Arabidopsis thaliana: one gene and its partners. The protein of the gene in region 3 interacts with the protein of the main gene of each other region in a pairwise test. Each region holds a gene or a part of one and is shown on either strand. Other genes may lie near its edges.

Region 1 (9,524 bases), on a different chromosome or scaffold from region 3:
GCATTAAGATTGTATTTACTCATCCACATATTTACTAAAAACAAACCCTAGTAATTTAAAGACAATTTTCTCCAATGTTGTTCTTTTTTTTTATATTCTTTACGACTTCATCTACCAAAATCATAACCATAAGCATAGTATTATTATTATTTTCTTAATTGTTTTCCATCTAATATTAGTATGAAACTTTTCCTTATTGAGTTTTCTTCTAGTCTATCCTTAGAATTTGAAGTGTATTGTCTATATATAGATAAGATCGAATCCTTAAATATTATGAAAAAGTTACACGATGAAACACTAAAAACATAATTGAAATTCGTGTTTTCAGTATATTTATGGGTTCTTAGTAGTTACAACGTTGTTTTCTTGGCATTGAATAGAGTGAAAACGAGTATTTTATGCGAAGTAGTAAATGGGATAGAGGTGCGAGTCACAGAAGGTGGGGAGGACCACAAAACCACAATTAAGTTCCGCGTGATCTTTACTCATTCTTTTACTTGAATAATATGGTTTAGTGTAGACAAATTTCTCGAGTTTGCGTGTATTATTTGGACTAAACACAATATTTTTATCATCTATTTACAAGAAATATCAATAAGAGTAATGAAGTTATAGCAACCATATTAATAATTTGTGATTATTTATTTGATGGGTCCAGTCGCTAACTAGACGGTGTGATACATACTGTATATGATTTAACAAAGAGTACTTTTGTCTTTCAATTTTGCATTGGATGCAAAGTATTGAGATATGAGTCACTAGAAGATGTGTTGTAAATTGACGTTTGAGTTGAAATGGCCATGAAAAAACAATGAACATAACAGAAACAAATCACAATGGTATAAAAATAAATGACTTGGGGCCTTGACGATTAAATTATCATCAGAAGCTTATAAATATAATGATTCTTCTTTCTATTGAATTAATCGATACATCAGAGTGGATTTGGACATCTGTGGCTCTCTTTCGAGGACCGCAACCACATCCTTCACAGAGATTGTCCTCACCACTTTCGGTTGAAGCGACGAACCTTGGTTTTTCCCTACTCTTCGACCACCTGCAAACAAGAATCCAAAGCTCATCATCGCAAACCAAAACCGTGAGGAACTAACTCGATAGACAATCCCCACACCACAGCTAGATTCTTAGCATTTCCTAACACTAGCAGCATTTCATGCTTTCAAGGAGGGTTTATCGGTTTGTTCATCGGCTTTGCTAGGGGAAACAAGTTAAAAAGGATGGACTCACCAGTACCAGAAAACCGTCGTCCACCATCTTGTCTATCTTTGGAGTTCTTTCCTCCACCTGAAGTAGTTTTCTGATTCCCATCTTTACCAGCTTCAGATACAGATTTCTGACGAGCTTCAGCCATTAATTGCCATTTTAAGAACGCATCATCTCCTCCGACAGCAGCACGAGCAGCAACATTTGCAGCTGTCGTTCTCATTTTGTCGTCATCCTCTTTATTTCCCTTCACATGTCGAAACCACTTTTGTAAGAACACTGCAACGGTATTATTAATTTCCACAAATGTATTATTAATTTCTCCATACCTTCACACCCTTTGAACGATTATCTTCTTTATCCTTCTCACTGTCAACTCCACCATCACCTTCTTCACTCTGCAGCAAAAAGATGAAATTTGCAATGTCTGTGTGTTGTAGTAAACATAAGAACATAGATAATGAGCTCAGAACAGACCTCACTCGGTTTCTTAAGCTTTTCTGCTTCAGCCTGTTTCTTCTCCCATTCTTCCTTCACCTTCTGATTCATTTCGTTGATTTGTAGCCGAATATCTGATGTGATAAAAGTCCGGTGCCTAGATTTCTCAGCATCAACCCGCTGAAGAAGCATTTTTAGCTTCAGACAGAATTTATCAAACAATGTTGAACCAGGTAGTAAGAGAAAGTTAGACTGACCTGCTTTGACAACCGAATTATATGGGATAATAGTCCTCGCATCCTTTCCTCCACACACTGAAAGCAAATACATGAGAAAAGGGGAAAAAGAAGCTCAAGTATTGTATGCAAACAATGCACACGAAGTTGACATCTCACCAAAGATAAGCACCGTTCGACATCATTGCTTATCTGCTTTAACCCGGCTTTAGCCACTGCCAGATAAGAAAAGCATATGTAAGCTTCGTCTCCAAGTGATTCAATAACTAGAAATTAAAATAGAAGAAGATATGGGAAGTATCCCAACTAATTTCCGCCAGCTTTCTTTGCAGAGGATTCTTCTGCAAGATTAATCTTTCTTCTTCTTCGTGCACAACTCTCCGAGATGCTTCGGAAACACGACCATCTTCCTTGGCCCCAGAAAATAATTGTTCTTCCTCTTCCTAAATCAAATGCAGACAAAAAATGATTTACTTCAGTAATCTACATCCAGATTAAAATTGAAAACTGAAGCTACCAGGAAACGCACCCTGAGATTAACACCACTGACTGCAGTGACATCATTGAGCTGTTCAATACTTTGATCCATAGAATTCCCTGCTACTTTTTGCTTCTTGCTGCAAGTTGATCCATGCAAAACGATTATGATTTTATATTACTTGGGGACTCGAAAAGAAAAGTGGTTTACACTTAAAAATCCATACATCAGAAGTCTATTATTAACGAAGAAAGAGTGACTTAAAAAACTGTTCCCTGTTTCTAAGCCTGAGCAGATCAATTACCTTGGTGGTGGAGGTGAAGAACCTAATGTCTCAAGAGGTTTTTTCTGACCAACAGAAGGCTTTTTGGGTGGCATCCTAGCATTAGCTCCTCCTTGAGAGGTTCCCAATGGGCCACGAGAATTCATCTGATGGATACACAAACAATGTTAATGATGTCCAATTGAAACTTTTCCTATTTACTGTTTATAGTAGAAATTATAAAACCCAAAACAAGGAAAAACAATAGATGTCCAGGTTGTCGGACATAACACGGAAAATATGCAAGGGCTTTTGAAGCGCCATAGTTGCCCCAGCAGCTCAAAGAGAAGAGGCAAACAAGAACAGTGGAGACTGACTTTTATAATGAGAAAACTATATATTAATAGATCTCTTACAGTTGTGCTGGCGTCTAGTTGAGTTGTCATGGAAGGAGAAACAGAGCTTGCAGGCGCCATGTTGTTAGGCGTGGATAAAACCATTCTAGAGGACTCCTTCTCTAAGTCCTCATTCGAAGTCATTGAGGCTGCATTATTCTTTTCAAAACTTTGATCAACTGATTCCTGCTTTACGTGGGACACTGATGATCCTTGACCAGGTGCAGAATTTAGAGGCAATGATGAGCTGTTCTGGAAGTGCGATGTAGCGCCACCCTGAACCCTACTCGGATCATTTACAGAACTTGGCCTCTCAAACTTGGGCATAGTCATCATGTTTGTGGTAGACTGGGGCGGTCCTCCAAGACCAGTTGATCCCATAGGCTGGTTATGTGCCACATGTCTCATATGGGAATCATGAAGGTGAGGTCTCAACGTGGAACCAGAAGCATTGGTGTTTGGACCCGGGAATGAATGAAAACTACCAGAAGTGGTATACATAGGAAAAGAACTTGGTGGATGCTGCATCTGGTGCTGCGGATGTTTGGTAAGTCCCTGTACCGGAACTGAACTGCCTAAGGTGCCTGAAGCTGAGGACGGTAGTTGGTTAAGATGGACTGCACGAGGATCAGACTGAGATTTTTGATTATTGATTTCTGCGAATGAATAGATTTAATCAGGTAAGATATTGGCTCCTGCATGGAAGTAATAAGATATATCTATGGAGAGTATAGAAGCTTTTATGATAATGGTGAAAGAAAAATAAAAAAGAATGCATTAGTGAATAATTTATACCAGTAGAAGGAGCTTGAATTCCAATTTTTCCCTGGTTATAGTTCACCTGAAAACAATGAGCACAAATTACAAATAAATAAGAATCTATACCCAATTTCAAATGCTTCAACGGTTAGCACAATTTTAGTTGGAATTAAGAACCCAGTTCAAAAAGCAAAACCTTCATTAAAATAGTAGAAAACAGAACAAAGAGAATAACTTTGGTTCCCTCGGACAAAGATAAAGAGCTTCAACCTTATATATAGGAAAAGATAACTCCCAAACGAAAAAGGGAAAGAAAATAGAAATTCTAATTAGAATTGGACTAAACTTTTCGTATCTTATTATAATTATAATGGGAAATAAGATTAAATCGTATCAGTTGGTGTACTTGAACTAGTCCTACTCTGCAGACATTGACCACAAACGCTGGACGTATAAATTTAGCACCGTTTTAACATGTAAATGTGGGACAAACGCAAGTCAGTAAACTCATATGATTAGATCATCCCAGGCATAAGTCTGATAACCTTTGGAAAGGAATAATAATCTGCTAAGATTGGTATTCTGTAAGAAAGTAAATCTCGACTTTTTGGTAGTGATCAAAATAGAGGAAAATAAAGAGTTTTTCCCTAATTCAATATGTTGTATCTAATTTATGAAGCTAAAATATATATTCTAAACATCATTTGACTTATCAACAGTTCTACTTCATGTCAGACCATTCTATGTGCATTCAAGCTAATAAAAAACAATAGTCTTTTGATCCAGCTAAATTCAAAGAGCAAATGTAAAAAAAGAGTAAAAATGTAAAGCACTAGCAAGCAGAACTTTTAGACAAACAATTCCAACATGATTCCACTTACAAACTAATACCCTAGGTTGGTTGTCTGGTTTTAGTCACAACATGGCACAATATATGCAAAATGGTAATACCTGCTGGAGTTTACTAACTGCCATCCTGAGCATCTGATCGCCCACAATATCTTTCATATGTCGTGTGAACCCCTCTTTGGGGATTTCATTTTTCTGCAAAAAAAAGTAGCAGAAGGAAAGAAATGATAATACAATAGCTTTGGAACAGAATGTCAAATGATTTCACAGATAGACATACCTTAAGTCTAGCATATAGGGTACGGAGCTGCAGTGCTCTATCTTTATCGAGTTGGTTCATTAAAGTAGGAAGCAAAGCAGCAAATGGTACTTGCTTAGGGTTGCGGTTTATAGGGTTAACATTCATAGGGTTAACAGGCGGTTCCACTCCCCGAGCCTGTTGACTACTCATCTTTTGCAGTTTCATATACTGAGATTCACTCTCTTGATTATGGGATCTATCTGATTCATTACCAGTAGGATTCTTTTCACTAATCGGTAACCCAGTTGATTGGGGGACCTGCGAGGGATTCTCCCAGAGTTGACCAGCTCGATGAAGGTCTTGAGGCTGGTTGTGTTGTAAATGAGGTTCATTTGCGCGTTTCAAATCATGTTGATGTTGATTTTCTAAAGTCGATCCTTCTTGCTCCTTCATCTGAGTACTTTCAAGGCTATGCTGAGTCTGGACATTGATATTAGAATCTCCAATACCATTCTTCCATGTCGAAAACTGCTGCCTGGAAGAATGGTTGTTTCCTATAAAAATAATAGAAGCAATTGGTTGATGATACTCAAATCACAAGTTAAACTGGAGGAAAAATCATATAATACCCAAAAAAGGACAAAAGACAGGATTTTGTTGTAGCAGATTATGCACACAAAATGCATACTCAGTAGCTCTCATACACCTATCCACAAATCACAACCTATTTGTATTTCAATATTTAATGGTGTAGTCAGAGGAAAGAGATCACTTCCAGCACCAGAGACAGAAAATAATGATTTAAGGAGACACGTAATCATCGTCAAGATTGCAGTGAACCAAGAACAAAGCCTAACACTAAAATAGTATCAGCATCACCAACCTATGTCTACCCTGGCTAATAAATCCCATCACACTGATCAATTTTAATGACTCAACAATCAACTAGTACAGGCTATATTGGCAATGACAAAGCTTATCCCGATATTAACATACAGAAACCCTAACAAACTAATATTTCATGACCTTAACTATTGCTTTAATACAGGACTGAAACTTCCAAACATGTCACTAGATTAGCAAGGTTTACAATATAGCCTAACCAAGGCATCTTCTTAAGTTATCCATGTTCCAAGAGTAATAACCTATCTGAGAAAACTGTATATATTAAAAACAAGCACAACTTTGCTAACATGTCAAAGCTTCCCAAAGCAGCCAATCCAAGATAAAACCAAAAGATACTATCTTTATATTAACTAATAGTACCACAAAAATTAAAATCTCAGACATAAAATTTAAGAGCGAATTTGTAGAGAAACCAAACCTGGGTTTGTCACGTGGGGTATTGAAGTTGTCATAGAACCTTCAATATCACGATTCAGAGCAGCTTGGAACGCGTCTACGTCAGCTCCTGAATGCATCGATTCATCCTAAAATAATACAATTCGACCGGAATCAAAAACCACGAAGACGATTCCAGATACATCACACAAAATTGGATTTTGAAACGAGTGAGATTAGAAACCTAACCTCATCTTCTTCAAGGAGCTTGAAAATTGAAGGATCCATTGAAATAGCTGGGGAAGGCAAAGAGAGAAAGAGAGCTCTCGGCGTAGATGAATTAATAGGAAACAGATGTTATAAGATTAGTCCTAAACTAACCTCATGTCGTTTATTAGCTTTGTTTTAGCACTGTATGTCGTTTTTAATTTTGATCGAAAAAAAACGATACCGTTTGTTATGGATGAGTAACCTCATGTTGTTTATTGGTGTTCTTTTAAAAACTGCATGACGTTTAATGGAATACGAAAAACGCTGTCGTTTGCTTTATTGCGTGGAGAGATATATCAAACTTTATGTCGTTTATTGGTTTTGGTTAAGCACTGTTTGTTGTTTGCGTGTATTGAGACTAAAAGTTCTGGTACAGAGAGAGAGATACATCAAAAGTACAGTGTAAGCTGCCGCCATTAACGAAGCATCGGCGAAAAAAGAAGATGAATATCGTTGGATTGAGCAAACGTTTCTTCTCCGATCGTCGCTCTCTTCACGGGATCAACAATGCTCTCTTGAAAACAGTGTTCACCGGTCGGAAACCGATTCTCGGATTCTCCGGCCGATCGATTCACGAGCTACGCAAAACTGGGAATTTCGTAATCCCTCGTGTTTTCTCCGTGTCGCGAAATCTAACGACGAAGGCTTCGTCTTCTTCTTCGAAACAACCTGCGTTTCTACGATGGTATTTGAGAAAGCTCGAATCACATCCTTTTATGACTAAGAGTATCACTACTTCTGTCATCTATATGGCTGCAGATCTCACTTCTCAGGTTTTTTTTTGAATCTTTGTAGTTTTTGGAATTTAGGGTTCTTTCTCATTTCATTACTAATTAGAGAATTTTGTTAAAGTTTTGAATTTTATCTCTTGATTTAGGAAGAAAAGACTAATCTTCATTTGTTATTATACCAAGACAATTCCAAATTTGATTTGAAACTAGATCATAATCTTACTAGTGGAAGAAGTTATAATACTTTAGTAAAGAATAGGTGGAGATAGCACTAAAAGTTGGTGTTTTTTAATGAATTGTTATTCTCATATTTTTGGTTTAGTCTGTGTTCTCAACTGTTGTTCTTTGATGTGTGAGACTGTACTTACAGTGTTTACTGAATCTGTATATTGTACTCTTGTGAATTTGAAGTCTTTCTGTACTGAATAATGGATGAATTTAGTATTGGTTTGATTACTCAGAAAACTCACACTCCAATCCGAATAGTCTAATCTTCTTGTTATTATCTCTTGTGAATACTTATTGCTAAGGTGAAAAAAGCTTTAGGTGTGTGTGTTGGGGTTCTTGTAAACTCTGTTTTTCTTCTTGTCATTAGTGGATTTCTCTTTTGAGTCTTTTTATGATCATGTTGTGGTGCTCTTCCCCCAGTAATATGTTAGAGCGAAACTAGAGAACCTTTTGTTTTGTTTTATTTGTGTTGACTCTCTAAATTCTTCAACAGATGATCACAATGGAGCCAACTGGTTCTTTTGACTTGATAAGAACAGCGAGAATGGCGAGCTTTGGGTTGATATTTCTCGGGCCGTCTCAGCATCTGTGGTTCAGTTATCTTTCGAAGATATTGCCAAAGCGCGACGTGTTGACAACCTTTAAGAAAATAATGATGGGGCAGGTTCTTTTCGGACCTGTTAGCAACACAGTCTTCTATTCCTACAATGCTGCTTTACAAGGTACATAACATAATCAAACCTCTATGGATTGAACGGATTTAGCTTTTTACGGTTTCTCTGCCTGTAAATTTATGGTGCTCATTATGAGATTGGTTCTGGCACGTTGTTGGTCCTTTTTAAGGCGAAAATTCTGAGGAAATTGTGGCGAGATTGAAGAGAGATCTTCTGCCAACATTGAAAAATGGACTTATGTATTGGCCGGTCTGTGATTTTGTTACATTCAAGTATGTGCCAGTTCATCTACAGGTAAACCAAATATCTATCTTATTACTTTCTCTATTGTTTGGGATGTTTGAAGACACTTCTTAACTTCAACTTGTAATCTTCTGGTTGCAGCCACTGATGAATAGCTCGTGCGCATATATATGGACAATCTATTTGACATATATGGCAAACCAGACGAAAGCTGACAGCTGAACAATGACAAGTATGAGTGTTCTGGGTCACACGCAATCGCATTCTTTTTATTCAATTGAACCAACCATCAGTACTAGTAGATTTTTTTTGTTTTTTTGGTGTCTACAATGCAGCAAAAGTATCGCATAGATATGGACATAAACATGTATGAATTTTGATCATCTAAGCATATATTTATCAGGAAGTCTCAAAGTTCCATCGCGTTTTACTGCGAAAACTTGCTTCACCATCTTCTTTTACTTTTTGTTACTTTCTTGTAACATTTTGACTAAAAAAATAATTTGGTTTATTTTTGTTTATTTAAATTAATGCCAAAAATAAATTAGGGTAGGTAAAACTAGTATGAGGTTAACCACATAATTCACAAATGAAACCAAACTTAGGCCACGTTTTAGGTCATATTGCCTCCTTGAATCATATAACATCATTCTTCCATTGTCACATTGTGGCCAAAATAAAACACTATTTATCGTCCTAAGTATATATAATTGCCCTTACACTTTTGTCCTACTATACTTTTAAGAAAATAACAATTGGCACGAGATATTTGCCGTCAGAAAAAAAAATGATACTGTTTGGTCTTCCGTATTTTCTTCCACAAAAAATGAATAAAAACCCAATTTGATTTCATGAAAGCCATCAGGAAATCTACACGTGGAGGCAACTAGGAGCTACCGACAATTTAATAGTGTTCGTCGTATACAACGGCACTCGACATTTGGGACCCATACTGAATCTTATCATACGTGGCTCAAATCTAATTGGTATGACGTCAGCATGCCGAAAGGGAGAAGACGCAGCTAAGTGATTTTCCTTTATTATCCTCCTTCACAAATCGAAAGTCGAAAACTCTTTTTTTTTTTGTTTTGTTACCATTATAATTGAACCGAACCAATTTAAATTGAACCAATTTTTTTTGTTTTTCTGAATTGAACTAAATTTTATCATCCCAATTCAATTCAATCTCATTTCTATTATAACTCGACTGATAAT
Region 2 (7,851 bases), on a different chromosome or scaffold from region 3:
CACGGCGGAGATTGTTCGAAGATTTTAGTTCCGAAAACTCCGATGGATCTACGGTTGCTGATTAAGATATCTATGAATACTGGTTTAACGTTCGTCGATTGGGTTCCAGACTTTTTCCTTTCCCAATTCATCGCTGTAAGTTTGTTCTGTTTCTGTTTTATCTGTTTATTTCCGAATCTGGTCCCGTAAATTGTTTGTTCGTTAGTCATGATCCTAAAGGTTTGGAATTTGCAAAATTCATCCTCTTCTTATAGGTAATGTATGAGAAAAATCGGCAGGAGCTTCTTGAGCTAGCTAAGAATTTGTTGGAACGAGAGGAGGAACCAGAATTGCCTGTAATATCCCAGGTAGTATAAAATTTCGTTGAGTTAACCTTTTTTTAATTCCTGATCACTAATGGTTTAACTCTAAGCATCAAGATATATATTAATAAGTTGGCGTGATGATTAATGTGTCGCTGATAGAGAACTAATTGATGTTTTGGATTGTTTTTATGGGTTTTAAGTATTCATCTTTTGGATAGTGGAAACACTATTCTCGTTTGTTTGCTTTCACTTTTATATTATTTCTAGAGGGATGCTATGGATTGAGATGCTTTATTCGAATCTACGAATAAAATATGACTCTGATTAATTTGATATATATGATGCAGAAAACGTTAATCGTTTGGGGAGACAAGGACAAGGTGTTTCCCTTGGAGCATGCTTATCGGCTGCAAAGGTAAATACTACATTGATATTTTATGGTAATAAGTCCCATAACAAGTGTTGTCATAATAACTACATCCGTATAAAATATTTAATATTTCTACTAGGTCAAAAGAGATGAAACATCGAACGTGAACGCATGTGATTATTGATCGTGAATCCAATATGTCGAAACTAATAAAAATTATATACTTTTGCAGGCATTTACAGAGTTCAAGATTAGAGATAATAAAGGAAACAGGACACGCTGTTAACATTGAAGCACCAACTACTCTTAATAATTTTATTACTTCGTTTGTCTTAAGTGCTTGATTTCTATTTTTGTATATACTTCTTCTTCATATAAATATCTATATGCATTTGATTTAAGTGTATATATAGTTGACATCATTTAACATATCATCAACTGCTGAGTCATCAAAGAGCTAAAACTTTCAAGCTTAAAATGGAGAGGACAACTAAAATTACAAAAGGAAAAAACAAAAACCCACTAAAAAAGAAGACGAAATAGTTAGAAAGTCCCACAACTACGAAAAAAATAACTGTATTATTTGATTGCCTATAAGACTCATGAATTTTATATATAATACATACAGTTTCACTACTTGTGCCTTCAACTCTCCATAGATGTGTAAACTCCTGCAACCTATAATAGGAAAAGTTGAGGACTATATATAGCCAGCCATAAATACCCGAGGTTTTCTTATTTATGTAAGTGGTGTTTGTGTATGATAAAAGTGTTTACCAAGAAGATGAACATAGCAGTGAGAGCTGGCTCAGGCTTCTATATTCAAGTCCTTTAGTATCGTGTCATGTGTTGTAATATGTGAGGACCGGATGTCTGCGAAACCAATTGTTCTGAACTTTGGGAGGGTCTTAAGAGATGATTCGGACCATTTGGGTTCACCATCGCTTGTCTCATAGTTTCCTTGGAATTGCTTGCATTCGTCTCTGGTTTTGAGGATTCTAGTAATGCACGCACCTGGCGACACAACACAAAAAAGAAACTTCAGAGAGAGGTCCATAAGCACGACTGTACACAAAGAGATGTTTGGAATATCATTCAGCTTACCATTGCAAGTCGCTTCTTGTGGAGATCAGTTGGTACCTGCAAGTTGTTAACTTGGGATCAATATCTAGCAAACTCATGTTCTTTCTCTTTTTCTTTTATTGGACATTCAGGTGGTGATGCACATTCACATATACTTTTTGTGCTTTTAAAGAGTTTTAAAAAGAAAATCACTTACAGTTTTTGTTTGACGTTTATCCTCACTTGAGAATCCAGGAATTGTCAAGTGCAAGTTTTTCTCTGCAAAAAATTATAACTCAGCAAACAGTAAAATGAGTAACAATAGCAACTACTTAGAATTCACATTGAACAGAGCTCATCACCAAATTAAGTACAGACCTAGGTGGAGTAATATATCCTTGGGCTCCAATACAGATGATTTACGATGCTTAGCCAAGCTACATGCAAAAGATGTGACCTGCAATGAAGTTTAGGTAAGATAGAGATAGGTTTTCACAAATCTGTAAATAAAAAAGCTGAAGTTAATACTAAATAATTGATATTAGCTTCTAACCGAATCAATGAAGTCATCTGCCACCTCCAAAAGGAGGTCTTCAACATCAGGATCCAGTTTCGCATGTACATCCACCTGAACATCATGATACAATAGAATGAAACATATTTCTAAAGGAAGAAGAAGATAGAAACAAGCTATAGAGTTGAAGAGGGAAAATCACCTGCGAAACCAGATCCTGTATCTTCCTTTTACCAAGGAGTTGGTTTGTTGCTTCTGTTCCCTGGCTTGAGCTACCACCTGGTGTTGTTGTACCCGATTGTGTAGCCTCTGGTTGTGAACCCGTTAAACTGACAGATTTTTGTCCTGCATGACTCAACATCCTTGGAGATGGCTGTTGTTGATTAATCTGCATTTGCTGTTGTTGTTGCTGCTGCTGCTGCATCTGCTGTTGTGGTTGCTGCTGTAGTTGCTGCTGCATCTGTTGTAGTTGTTGTTGGGAATGGGATTGGTTCATCTGCGACTGGCCTAATTGTGATTGTTGCTGCTGCTGTTGTATTATCTGTGATATCTGCTGCTGATTCAAGGACATAGAAGATTGATGTAACTGAGGAGAGGACAGTTGTTGTTGTTGCTGCTGCTGCTGCTGTAAGAGAAGAGCCTGTCTTTGACTCGGTTGGAGTCGGAATGAATTGGGGCTCGTTATTCCCGACATTTGCTTCAGCCATTGCTGCTGTGACAAAGAGTTTTGCATCATGCCAGCTTGTCCATTCTGGGCCAAACCCGATAGCTGAGGATTCATAAATGCGAGAGAAGATGTTCTCTGGAGGTTCTGGACCTACACAGGGGATTACAAAAAGTTACCAAGTGAAGAGGATACAGGATACATGAGATTCGACGCAACTCTATTTTTTAACTTGAAACGAAAGAAACACATGCTCACAAAATGATCAGGAATTTGCATATTGCACAACATAAATGTATTAGTACCTCTATAGATACATAGGCCAGATTTTACAATTACACGGTAAATCTGTCAAATTTAAGGATCATTCCCGCGTCATTCAGGTATTTTAGTTGCCAATTACAGATATTGGAAAAACTCTGCAAGTCAATATTAAGTGATTGATTAAAGTACCAAAACCTCATGGATCAGTTTAATTAAGACTGTGCAACAATAAGTCAAAAGAAGTGAAAGGATCCAACACGAGAATTCATTTGTATCTATGAGCCATAAGATATAACAAGTAGTCAATAAAAAAGTTCACAATGTGAGAGAAAGAAGTTCGTAAGATACGACTTTTTAAAACTCATACCTGAGGTGAAGTAAGAGCGTTTTGCTGTGACAATTGCTGTCTCATCTGCCCCGGGTTGATTCTCTGCTGCGCATAGAGAGCAGGGTTACCTCTCATTTGCGAGGTCAAATTCAGTGATCCCATCATTCCCATAGCTTGCATCCCTTGTAACTGTTGTCCAGAACTTCCCGGATGAAACTGCGAACCTTGAACCATGCCAGATTTCTGCCTCGGCTACAACGGAAAAGCTCATTTGTCTCAGAATAAAGAAAATGATTTGTTGTTCACACAATAATAGAAGAAACTGCAGAGTTTACTATATTCATATCAACAAAAACAATTGCAACACTATCTCCATCTAAAGCAATACTACAAGTTGAGACTCCATCCACAAAAAGAAAGATATGAATCAACAAAGGGAAAGAGAGTAAAAGTAAAGAATGGGGTACCGAAGCAGCCAATAATTGGGGTTGAATATTCATCTGAGCAGCTCCAGCAGCACCGTTAAGCATAGGCAAGTGACCGCTTTGGCCAACTAAACCTGCTCTGGACATATTAGGGTTAACCATCTGCTGATTCTGCTGGCTCTGTTGAACTGAACCTGAGCCACCAAAGTTCATGGTTCCGTACAAACCAGCTTGCTGTCTCAACACGTTGCCGTATTGACCTTGATGCTGCTGCTGCTGTTGTTGCTGAATTTGGCTCAGGCGAGAAAGAGAAGGGGATCGCTGAAGAGATTGAGCAATTTGGTAACTCGACATTGGGATTTGCTGTGAAGTCATGTGTTGTTGCTGCAGAATCTGTTGCTGTTGCGGCGATAATTGTGGAATCGGAGATGAAGAGATTTGCTGCATAATCTGTTGTTGTTGTTGAGGCAATTGCTGAGTTTGTTGAACGAGTTGCTGAGTCTGTGTTTGCTGATCTAAAGATGAAGAAGGGTGAGAGAGAGGAGAAGGCGACGGGATCTGAGCTCCGATTGGTGGGTTAGAAGAAGTAGGGTTGGGAGAGGAGATGTTAGGTTGCGAATTGTTCTGAATTACAATACCTTCGGTGGTAGTTACAGTCATCGCCGGAGACGCAGCGGAATTAACAGAATTGGAAATCGGAGCTGTCATGAGTTGTTGTTGTTGAGATGATGATGAAGGTAAAGGAGTAGAAGATGCAGGAGAAGGTTCCATAGGATTAGGAGATTGTAGAGATTTCGGTGACAGAGACGATGAGGGAATCGGTTCCGCCATTAGAAGAAACCCAGCTGTGAAGAAGAAGAAGAAGAAGAAGAAGAAGAAGGTGTATTATTTGGTTGAGAGGGGTTTTGTCGATTTTCTCTCATGAAATCGTGTTTTATTTTTTTCCCAGAAGTTTATTGACCGATAAAATATGGTCTTCTATTTTTTTTGTTTTGTTTGTTGAATCAGTTCTGGGGAAAAAAGAATCTGAGCCGTACACGTCAGTAGATTTAGCGGAAGATGATCGAAAAGATACTTGTACTGAACTGTGTTTCATTATTCCAGACTCTCGCACAACTGCTCTAACACTTTTTGTAGGATTATCTCATAGACCAATGCAATCAATATTTTACATTTTTTTCTCTTCACCATTTATTACATCAAATACGTCAACAAAAAGTCAAACTGTTTCGTTACTCAGGTGATGAAACTAGTGTGCACTATTTTCACGTTTTTGGTGTTTCAGAATTATGTTTTTAAATTTATTCAGCACAATGTTTTTTCTGCCTCTTGATTCTGTATGATTCAAACCTTTATTGATTAACTAAGTAAACTACACTAACTAGATGGAAACAACATCCTGTTGATCATTTAATTCATTCTTATTTGGAGATTTTTCCGTCTACAAATTAAATAGAAATCTTTATTTAGTTATAACTTGTAACTTGTAGGAGACCTTTTAGTTGAATAAAAAATAAGCTCTCTTTTTAACTGAATAAAACCTTCCAAAACTCACCTATAATAGGGATATGAATCCAACACTATGAATCTATAAAGAGAATTAATCATCACACCTACAGCTATACAAATACAAGATCTTGTGGACTTTAAATCACAAAACTATAATAATTTCCCACATAAACATTAATAATTTATTGCATCGAGTTTTGGACTGAACTAGAGAGACTGAGAGAGATTTTACAGACATTACAAGGCAAAGAGTCCCTTGGAGTTTGCAAACAAGTGTTTGCGGCGAATAAGTTCCGGTTTTCTAGGACCTGTTGAGACGAGACCGGCTAACAGAGACGGAGGACCGGTGAATTTGGTTTGCACCATTTCCCTCACTTTCATATAGCCGTCGAGTGTCATCAACTCCAGAAGCTTTCTACAGCTCTGATATTGAAATTTTTTTACAGAATGTTATCAGAGAGCAACCACCGTATATAGAGACAACAGACAAAGAGCTTTAAGAAGTTTTGATCAGTTTCAGTAAATGAAACCATAGGAGAAGAGGTTTTTAGGGTTTATGATTGTTATTACCTGAGGATTTAGTATGTCCATTAGGTTTATTATCTCGTCCTGCCACAAATGAATGTTTCGATTAGTATTTTCATAGAGTTCGAAACCATGATGGCAAAAACTTATTGGGTGGAAAATGGAGAAGTATTTACCTCTGGTATACCGGGATTTTGCATCACGGTACCAAGAACACGGCGAACTAGTCCATCAAAGACAATTTTATTTATTGACCCATCTGCGTTTACCCATGGATATATAGGCACAGGTGACTTTTCAGAAGTTGATTCCTTTGTTTCACCTTCAATACCCGTTCCAAAAGTAACAGATGGAGCTTTGATAGATGCTTCATGCAAACCGCTCGTTTGAGCCGTTTCAGGAAGGTTAAGAATTGTAACCTTGTGAACGCTATTCCCAGCGACATGCTCTCGCATGTCCTGTGAAGTACTGTAGCTGCTAGCAATGATATCTTTGGACCTATGTTCCCCAACAGCTCTCTCTAGGTAGTTCACTGGTAGAGACTGTTGACTTTTTTGGGAAGTTCCATCTTCCTCCAATGTCAAGAAGTACTTTGATCGGTAGAAGGAATGGACAACACGGAAATTATTATAGCCATTTACCTGAATAAGATATTGTATGGTTAACAAGTTGCTTGTAAAACGATGTAACATGAACTGAGTTCACAATCCAGGTAAGTAAAACTAGTAAACCAAGCACTGCAACTTTCATCTTAATAAAGGCAACAGGGTTTGTAAAATAAGAGATAATCAGACAAACCTTCAAAGCTACCCCAAATGTTTGAAGTACATCTACAATGCAGTCACAAGTTTCTTGGCCTGATGAATACACAAAGGTTAAATAAAAACACTGAAGGAAGTCGCCAGCACATGCAAAAATAAAAGCCTGTTAAAAAGGTTTGCCTGATGCTTACTTGGGATATCAATAAGACTGTGGACTTCTTCAATGCTCAGACCTTGGTCACCAGCCTTCTGAAGGGCATTGGAAACGGTTTCAAAAACCCTGGGACTGAATAAACTAACTTCCTCATCTGTTGATTCGGACATAATGCTACTAGTAAAACTGGCCATCGCTTGCCAGGGAGAATCACCTAGACTGCTTGGTATGACAGTAGAATCTGTAGAGTTGAAAAGTTCTTTCATGTCATCAGAATCACAGCCACTATTCGCTTCTCCCCACTTCAAATGAAATTCACCAGTGCGAGAGTCATCATCCTTAAACAACTCTATTGCATTAGCTGTTGGTATAGTTGCACGACGAACAGATACTGCTATACCAGGGAAACCCTTTTCCTTTCGGAAGTTGATTTCACCTTCGCCTAGTAGCTTCAATTTCTTAGAACTCTCAGCTTCAGATTCTTCTATGTCATCAGCTCTACGTTTCAAACCTCTTCGATCTCCAGGCTCTCCAACACCTTCTTCAGGCAAGGATACAGATATAGAGAGTTCACCAGAAGAAACCAATGAAAAGAAATTTAAAATATCACCACATTGCAAATCCGAAGTAAGAGTGACACCCCCAGCCATAAGGTCTCTTTCATGTTCGAAAAGCCAACTGGAGAACTTGGCTGCTCTTGTCCCAGTATTAACTGGGAATGGAGACTTTGAAATACTGTGCAAGAAGTTTTGAGAAAGCACAAATGGCTGTCCACCACTTCCACCAACCTGGAACGTTCCCATAATTCAATGACTTTTCAGTTTTCTTTGACAAATACAATCATTAAGTTTATCTATACAAGCAAATAAACTTGATTGAAAATAAAATAATAAAGTGACGTGAAGAAATGTAGAAAACTGTTTCTTATTCACCATCTCATCCAAACATCAAGCCTGCACATTATGTGGTT
Region 3 (6,863 bases):
GTATGTTTTGAACCAATATCGAGACATCGATTAAGCAAAAATTGTTTTTTTTTTGGATTTGTTATAATTTGCAGGAAAAAGGCAATCCAAACCGTACCGGTGCTCGTTACCTTCTCCCGGCTGCGAAAAGGTCATCAGAACAGAGACTGTCCTGCCTCCGGCGCCGGTGAGTTGTGAAGGGAGAAGGGTCTTACTTGGATGTCTTCTCGCTACAGGTTAGATCATTCTCTATTAGTTCTTCACATCTCCACTTAAGCTCAGTGTATCAAAATCCTTAGAAAATGTTGTTATCTGATTCAAAACAGCTTCTGGGATTTTGTCAACTGGTTCAGCCGAGGCAGTAAGCACCAGTAGAAGAGCTGTAAGCAATATATATATCTATGCATACATTGTGTTCTTGACTCAAAACTCAATCTCTTACATACAATTCTCTGCAGCTACGTGCATCCAAGTTACCGGAAAGCGATTTCACGACTCTCCCCAATGGTCTCAAGTCCGTAATCCAATGCATCATCTTTTGTTTGAATTCGATACAGTACTCATACCGCAAAACAGGATTGAAAAATCAAGTCTTTCTCGCAATAATCACAAGTTTGGTTTCTGTTTATATTGTGGCAGGTACTATGATATAAAGGTTGGCAATGGAGCAGAGGCTGTGAAAGGATCTCGGGTCGCAGTACGGTTGTGAATACGTTTCCTGGTTTACTTTGGACATGTAAATGCTAACAGTTTTAACAAGCGTTGATGCTTAACCCAAATGTTGTGTCGCAGGTTCACTATGTTGCAAAATGGAAAGGGATAACGTTCATGACAAGTCGACAAGGACTTGGTGTTGGAGGTGGAACGGTATAAGGCAATCTTACAGAGTCCATTACTGTACTTGAATATGCAAGGATCCTTTACTGATAATAATGAATTTTTGCAGCCTTATGGGTTTGACGTTGGTCAATCAGAGAGAGGCAATGTTCTGAAAGGACTTGATCTTGGTGTTGAAGGGATGCGTGTAGGCGGTCAGGTTAGTTTTTGAAACCGAAAGGCTTCACAAAGTCAGGCCACTCAAAGTCTTGTTTTGATGACCCTATGAGGTTTATATACAGAGATTGGTGATTGTTCCTCCCGAGCTGGCTTACGGGAAGAAAGGAGTGCAAGAGATTCCTCCAAACGCTACGATAGAGGTAACCAAGTTGAATGGATTGAAATTTTTGTTGGCTTCTAAAGTGGTGTTCATTTATGTTATCTTTCTTTTGCAGCTTGACATTGAGCTGTTATCAATCAAGCAGAGTCCTTTCGGGTATGTGAAATCAATCAACTAATACACTGGGTAAATTTGATCGAAAAAAGTGCCCTGAAAGCTTTCTTTTCGGTTTTATTCTGCAGGACGCCAGTGAAGATAGTTGAAGGCTAAAAGGACTAATGAAGCCAACATTGTACCAAGATTTTCTGTGTACATTCAGTAAAAAACTATAAAATTGATCAAAGCTATGGAAGATTCAACTGTATGAGAAGAATCTGTTTAATGGATTATACCGGCTAGTCCGGTTTTGTAACCGCTTTATAACTGTGTCTCATCACTCAATTCATACACTTTTGGCCGTTTTGCAAAACATTGAATCAATTCAATCCCATGAGGTGGTAAGATACTTTACTAATGGTTAAAATTAAGATCTAGCCTAGCCTCCATGCCTGTAGTTATCTTGGACTGTGAGATCTAGATAGGGTACAAAATGGGTGATACAAATTTCGTACCTTTTTAATGGAAAATTCCTACCAAACACGATTGGAGGGTTGATCTAATACATCAGTGATTGAAAGTTGTAGAGCCCATGGGATTAGAAGGTGTCTTTGCCTGACCGCCTCTTGCATTAGCAGTCCCATGCCCAAACTGATTCCTGGCGTTTGCTGCTTCTGTTGCCGTGACCGACTTCTTTATCTTCAAAATCCACAATGTATATACAAAATCAACAAGAAAATCTTCAATATATAAGTTTCTCTTCTACTCAGAACCATAATCTATACTATTAGGATGTTTAAAATCATGTGTTAAAACTTACAGCCGCAAGTCGCTCTTTGTGAATATCTGTTGTCAACTGCAAAACATTATCCAAGGAAACAACCAAAGATGTTAGGAACTATTTTGTAAATAAGACGAATTGATAAAATGCAGATCTCTAATTCTTACTGGCTTCCGAAATGTCTTGAACTCATCACTGCTAAAACCAGGAGGCCTAATATTCCAGTTTCTTTCTACATTTAAGGAGAAGATACCAAAAAGAAATTACTCATTGTAATTGGAATGAGAAATTGAAAGAAAACGGGCAGGTAGATAATATTGATCAGAACGAACCAACATGGAGCAAGATGTCCTTAGCCTCTAGAATATCTGACTTTCTATGCTTGGCTAAAGAACAGCCAAAAGTTGTGATCTGGGTTAAAGGAAACACAACGAGCAGGAGTTAGAAAAAAAAAACTCATCACAGGACAGAAATGTTTGACTCTTAACCAATGCGGTGTGGGCTACTTACTGACTCCACAAAATCTTCAGCAATATCAGAAAGGATGTCTTCAACCTCTGGATCCAATTTCTCTGACGGGTCAATCTGTGGATAGACAAGGCATTTTAAATTTAGAGAAAAAAATCAATGGATATCATGCAGAGAGTTCAGTGTTGAACACCATCAAAGTAGCCCCTAAAACTATCGATATATGTTATTACTGAATCTGTCAATAGTCATCATACATGCTTTTTGGCTTTCTATGGGAGGTATTATTAGCAAATAACTCAATATCTCTTCTATTTTATTTTTATCAAATACATTCCCCTTTATCTGTAAGAGATCTATCCAAGTAGAAGAAATCAATCACACATTAAGTAAGAATCAAGCGTGAGAATGAGAATACTGGTCAATATGCAAAATGGCTACCCAAAGTTGAGAATATGAAGAGAGGTCAGTGGATACCTGTTGAAGTAGCTCATGGATGCTTCGTTTCCCCAGGATACGATCATCAGACGGCTCGGTCTCTGCAGAAACTGTTTTAGCATGGTTTCCTGGTTGAGCCACAGGAGGCTGGCTCGGCATTACCGGAGAAGTAACTTTCTGATTTACCAAACCTTGGACCCGGGTTGGTTGATGTGGGTGAGCTAAAGGCTGCTGCGGAGATCTCAATTGTTGAAGTTGCTCTTGAGGCTGATGTTGTTGTTGAGATTGTTGTTGCTGAGGCTGTGGAGTTGCTGCTGACGTAGAAATATGTTGCTGAGGAATATGAGGTCTTTGTTGCATAGAGGGAGAATTTACTTGTGGTCTATACGAAGGAGGTGGCAAAGGCGGCTTCCCTTGGGGAGTAGATGATAACCAAGGTTGATTGATAGCTTGCAAGCTTTGTTGTGATGCACCAGTAGATTGGACATTAGGAGAGCTAATAGGTGAAGGTCTCATAAGGCTATGTCCTTGAAAGTTCTGCCAAAAGTAAAATATAAGGAATTAAAGTGTGCAAACAAAGTTGTTGTTAACAAAGGAGTCACAAAGCTGGAGTTCCTATGTCAAGATACAGAGGCCAGAAGGGTAAAAAATACATACTTGAGCAACAGGAGATTGGGTACTTGTGGAGGAAGCTGGCCTTAGAGACGATTGAGTTGGTCTCTGTTGGTGCTGAGTCATCCCACTCGGCCTTATTTGGGAACCTGAGCCAAGTGTTCCCATCATCCCAATTCCCTGAGTTCCTTGCATCATTCTAACCTGAACACACACATACAGAAAAAAGTTGGTATTTTTTTTGTAACAGAGCACAATTCTTTGAAATGTGGCACATATGAGAGAACAAAATCCACCTGAGGGGAACTTGTATTGGACGTAGCTTCTGACATTCCAACAGTTCCACGACCTAATCCGCCGTATTGTTGCCCAAAAGAGCCGGGAAAAGCAGAAGGCGAATGTTGAGAAGGTGTAGGAGAAGGACTCGGAATTGGGGAAGCCGGAACGCCAATCGCCATACCACCTCTTTGTTGCCCACTAATAGGTAAAGACGAAGACGAAGAGGCTGGCGCTGATGAGGAAGATAACAATGGCGACGAAGCGGAGGAGAAGTGAGTGTAAGAGGAGTGTTGTTGCCATGGTCTAGAGTACGCCTGCGGAGGCGGCCGTACTAAAGGCTGGGAGAGATGTTGCTGCTGTTGCGTCGCCGGAGATGTCACCGGACGCGTGTATTGAGGAGGATTAGGGTTTGGATTGAGCGATGGTGATTGTGGAGCTGGGGAAGAGGGAATAGAGGAAACAACGGAGGAGGGACTCGGATTTGTGGAAGGCGTTGGTTGAATCTGTGTTAAAGTCGATGGTTTCGAATCCGACGGCTGAGGAGGTGTTTCCGGTGGCTGAGACGCCGTCGAGCTTTGCCGTGGCTGATCCATGAAAAGGTTGTGAATGTGGAGGGAATAGAGATATTGATTGAGTATATAGAAATCTAATTAAACCGAAATTGTCGGTACGGTATTAAACAAGTGAACCGAAACTGCAAAGCTCGATAATTATTAATACCGGACCGGCTTTAACAATTCCTTTTCTCTGTTGTGTGATTAAAACGATGAGTTTAACCCCAAAGAATAAATGAGAGTTAAAACGCAGCGTTTCATTATGCTCAGATAGCAAGTTTCTTCTATTGCTGGAAATGTAGCTTCCAAGTTAACTAGTGTCAAAGTCTCTGGTCTTTTTCTCACATACTCAAGAGTACACAGCGATCAAATTAGCTAGTGTCACGACAAATTGGAGATTTGTTTGCAGCCTTTAGAGCCTTATAGCAAAGAAGAACTGGCATTGATTTTGATATATTTTGTGGATTGGAGAAGATATTGTCAAATTTTCAAAGCTTGTGACGTTGCCAAAATTATGTAGGTTTAGTGATAATAATTCAGGATTCTAAATGTGAAGTGTGGATAAGTGATAATAATTCATGTAGAAAGAAACATTGTCTAGCTAAAGATGACCATTGTTTGGGTCAAAATATATAAATAACATTATGATCAAGAACTACCATCACATAAAAGATAACTTCGATGTAATAATCTCGATAAGACTTTAAGAGAAAACATCAATGTTCATTAGACATGACAGGATCAAATCTTTTCTTCAACGTACCAATCTGCTTAAGACTCAACCCAAAAGCTTTCATAAGCAACTCCTCATTGATCCCTGACCCAAAAACCACGGACGGTATCTTCTGAATACCAGGGTTTTGGCTATTAAGTCCGCCGACAATCGTGGCCGTAACATCTCCGACGTTCATCTGAAAATGTACAAGCCCTTTTGGGTAAACCATCATTTCTCCTTCTTCCATCACTTTAGCGTAAACCTTATTGTTCGAGTCCACAAAACCAGAGTAAACCCGTCCTTTAACCAAGTGGGCTACTTCCGTCGCCCGCGGATGGTAATGTGGTGGGTTAATGGATCCGGGTTTGAGATCAGCCCGGACAAACGAGATGCCTAATGTATTAAGGCCGGGGAAGTTTTCTGGGCCTACTGGGACGGTGGCGAACCCCGTCTCCGTGAAGTTTCCGGCAGTTTTTAGACCGGAAAAGACAAAATCTTCGGTGGTTACTTCGGAGGAGTTTTTGCAAGGGAGATTGGTGGAGAAGTGATGGTCATGGTAAGGAGATGTCACAGGTTTTGGTATGCAGAAGTCTTGGATGGGATCAGGGTCGGAAGCTAATGTGAAGCATACATTAAAACAAAGAAGACAAAGAGCTTTTAGAAGAAACAAAGTGTTTGCTTCCATTTTACTTGAGGTCCATGTGAAGAAGAGTTGTGTTACATCCGGTTTAAATAAGCATATGTATATCTGGTGGGGGTAAATGAGAGACTGGTTAAGATGGTTACTTTTTATCAACCAAAATTTCGTCTGTGAAATTAAGGTGTGGGTTTTTGTACCAAATGAAAAACCACGTTTGGATATGTGGTTTTGGTTATGGGAGTGGTTAGGCCGGTACATTGACTGATAAACCCCTTTTGTGGCTTGATTGACACATCTCTTATGAATTTACTATTCGTCTATGTAATTCATAGTTACAAATTAATACAATTGTGCATAAAAATGGAAATATAACTGGAGTCCAAGGTTTCGGATCCTAGTGTCAATCCCGGTTTATAATGTAATTTTGGTATAGGCATAACCAAATCTATGTCTTGGGCTGAAGCAGGGGCCCGTATAAGGCGTGCTGTGTGCGCATGCCATGATATTCAAAATGATGAATTTGTTGCTTAAGCTTTTTGTTATCTCCAAGGCATGATTAGAGAGGCACATGAACATCATTTTTTCGGTGGTAAAGGTTTAGGCAGAGTGTGAAACATGACTTATTTCTTTGATATAACAAAGTGAAGATATTAGTTCAAAAAAAAAAAAAAAAAAAAAAAAAAACAAAGTGAAGATAAAGAAATGATTTTTAATATATTATAGATTTAGAGTCTAAAGCATCAATCTTTGATAATTAAATTTTTTAACATCATAATAAGAATTTAATTATCCAAACGATATAACATTTGTTCTTCAAAGCAACCAAAAACAATTTGCAAAGAGAATCAACGAAGTCTTCTAGCTTCTCTCTCGGACTCCAGCAAGGTGAGAATATCTCCCTCTCTGACAGGTCCTTTAACGTTCCTCATGATGTAACGGTCCGAGTCAGTGAACTTCACTCTAACCTGAGTCACTTGACCCCTTGATCCAGTCCTTCCCATCACTTTCACTACAACAGCGTGCTTGATCTGAGAATCCATTCTGATTCAACAAAACAAAAACATTCAGAGACCAAATTTTACAAAAGAAGTGAAAATCCTTAGAAAAAGAGAATTGTTCACATTTGAATCAAGACTGTATAACCT

Evidence for each region.
Region 1: the proteins of TAF12 (region 3) and TAF4 interact in a two-hybrid assay, tested with the Arabidopsis thaliana proteins (one study listed by BioGRID).
Region 2: the proteins of TAF12 (region 3) and EER4 interact in a two-hybrid assay, tested with the Arabidopsis thaliana proteins (one study listed by BioGRID).

What each region holds. Positions count from the first base shown.
Region 1 is NC_003076.8:17,314,694-17,324,217, forward strand, and holds TAF4 (TBP-associated factor 4), read right to left. Parts: upstream 6,493-9,524; 5' UTR 6,452-6,492; coding exon 6,413-6,451; intron 6,313-6,412; coding exon 6,207-6,312; intron 5,437-6,206; coding exon 4,922-5,436; intron 4,837-4,921; coding exon 4,744-4,836; intron 3,875-4,743; coding exon 3,829-3,874; intron 3,690-3,828; coding exon 3,055-3,689; intron 2,806-3,054; coding exon 2,681-2,805; intron 2,516-2,680; coding exon 2,428-2,515; intron 2,342-2,427; coding exon 2,206-2,341; intron 2,114-2,205; coding exon 2,058-2,113; intron 1,977-2,057; coding exon 1,920-1,976; intron 1,843-1,919; coding exon 1,702-1,842; intron 1,623-1,701; coding exon 1,554-1,622; intron 1,472-1,553; coding exon 1,249-1,471; coding exon of another isoform or gene 1,181-1,248; exon of another isoform or gene 1,145-1,180; coding exon 915-1,144; 3' UTR 768-914; downstream 1-767. Other genes in the region: AT5G43140 (Peroxisomal membrane 22 kDa (Mpv17/PMP22) family protein), read left to right, coding at 6,877-7,206, 7,886-8,114, 8,236-8,360, 8,451-8,531.
Region 2 is NC_003070.9:5,982,901-5,990,751, forward strand, and holds EER4 (Transcription initiation factor TFIID subunit A), read right to left. Parts: upstream 5,035-7,851; 5' UTR 4,764-5,034; coding exon 3,975-4,763; intron 3,760-3,974; coding exon 3,547-3,759; intron 3,069-3,546; coding exon 2,454-3,068; intron 2,366-2,453; coding exon 2,291-2,365; intron 2,195-2,290; coding exon 2,116-2,194; intron 2,017-2,115; coding exon 1,955-2,016; intron 1,816-1,954; coding exon 1,780-1,815; intron 1,690-1,779; coding exon 1,507-1,689; 3' UTR 1,453-1,506; exon of another isoform or gene 1,354-1,452; 3' UTR 1,084-1,353; downstream 1-1,083. Other genes in the region: AT1G17430 (alpha/beta-Hydrolases superfamily protein), read left to right, coding at 1-135, 255-347, 653-720, 908-1,019; AT1G17450 (B-block binding subunit of TFIIIC), read right to left, coding at 5,679-5,864, 6,012-6,050, 6,143-6,607, 6,765-6,823, 6,919-7,669.
Region 3 is NC_003074.8:3,102,397-3,109,259, forward strand, and holds TAF12 (TBP-associated factor 12), read right to left. Parts: upstream 4,431-6,863; 5' UTR 4,403-4,430; coding exon 3,827-4,402; intron 3,735-3,826; coding exon 3,576-3,734; intron 3,456-3,575; coding exon 2,958-3,455; intron 2,598-2,957; coding exon 2,523-2,597; intron 2,424-2,522; coding exon 2,345-2,423; intron 2,245-2,344; coding exon 2,180-2,244; intron 2,088-2,179; coding exon 2,052-2,087; intron 1,931-2,051; coding exon 1,799-1,930; 3' UTR 1,484-1,798; downstream 1-1,483. Other genes in the region: AT3G10060 (FKBP-like peptidyl-prolyl cis-trans isomerase family protein), read left to right, coding at 75-215, 306-361, 438-493, 619-676, 772-846, 926-1,015, 1,098-1,175, 1,251-1,291 and 1 more; AT3G10080 (RmlC-like cupins superfamily protein), read right to left, coding at 5,080-5,976; AT3G10090 (Nucleic acid-binding, OB-fold-like protein), read right to left, coding at 6,564-6,758.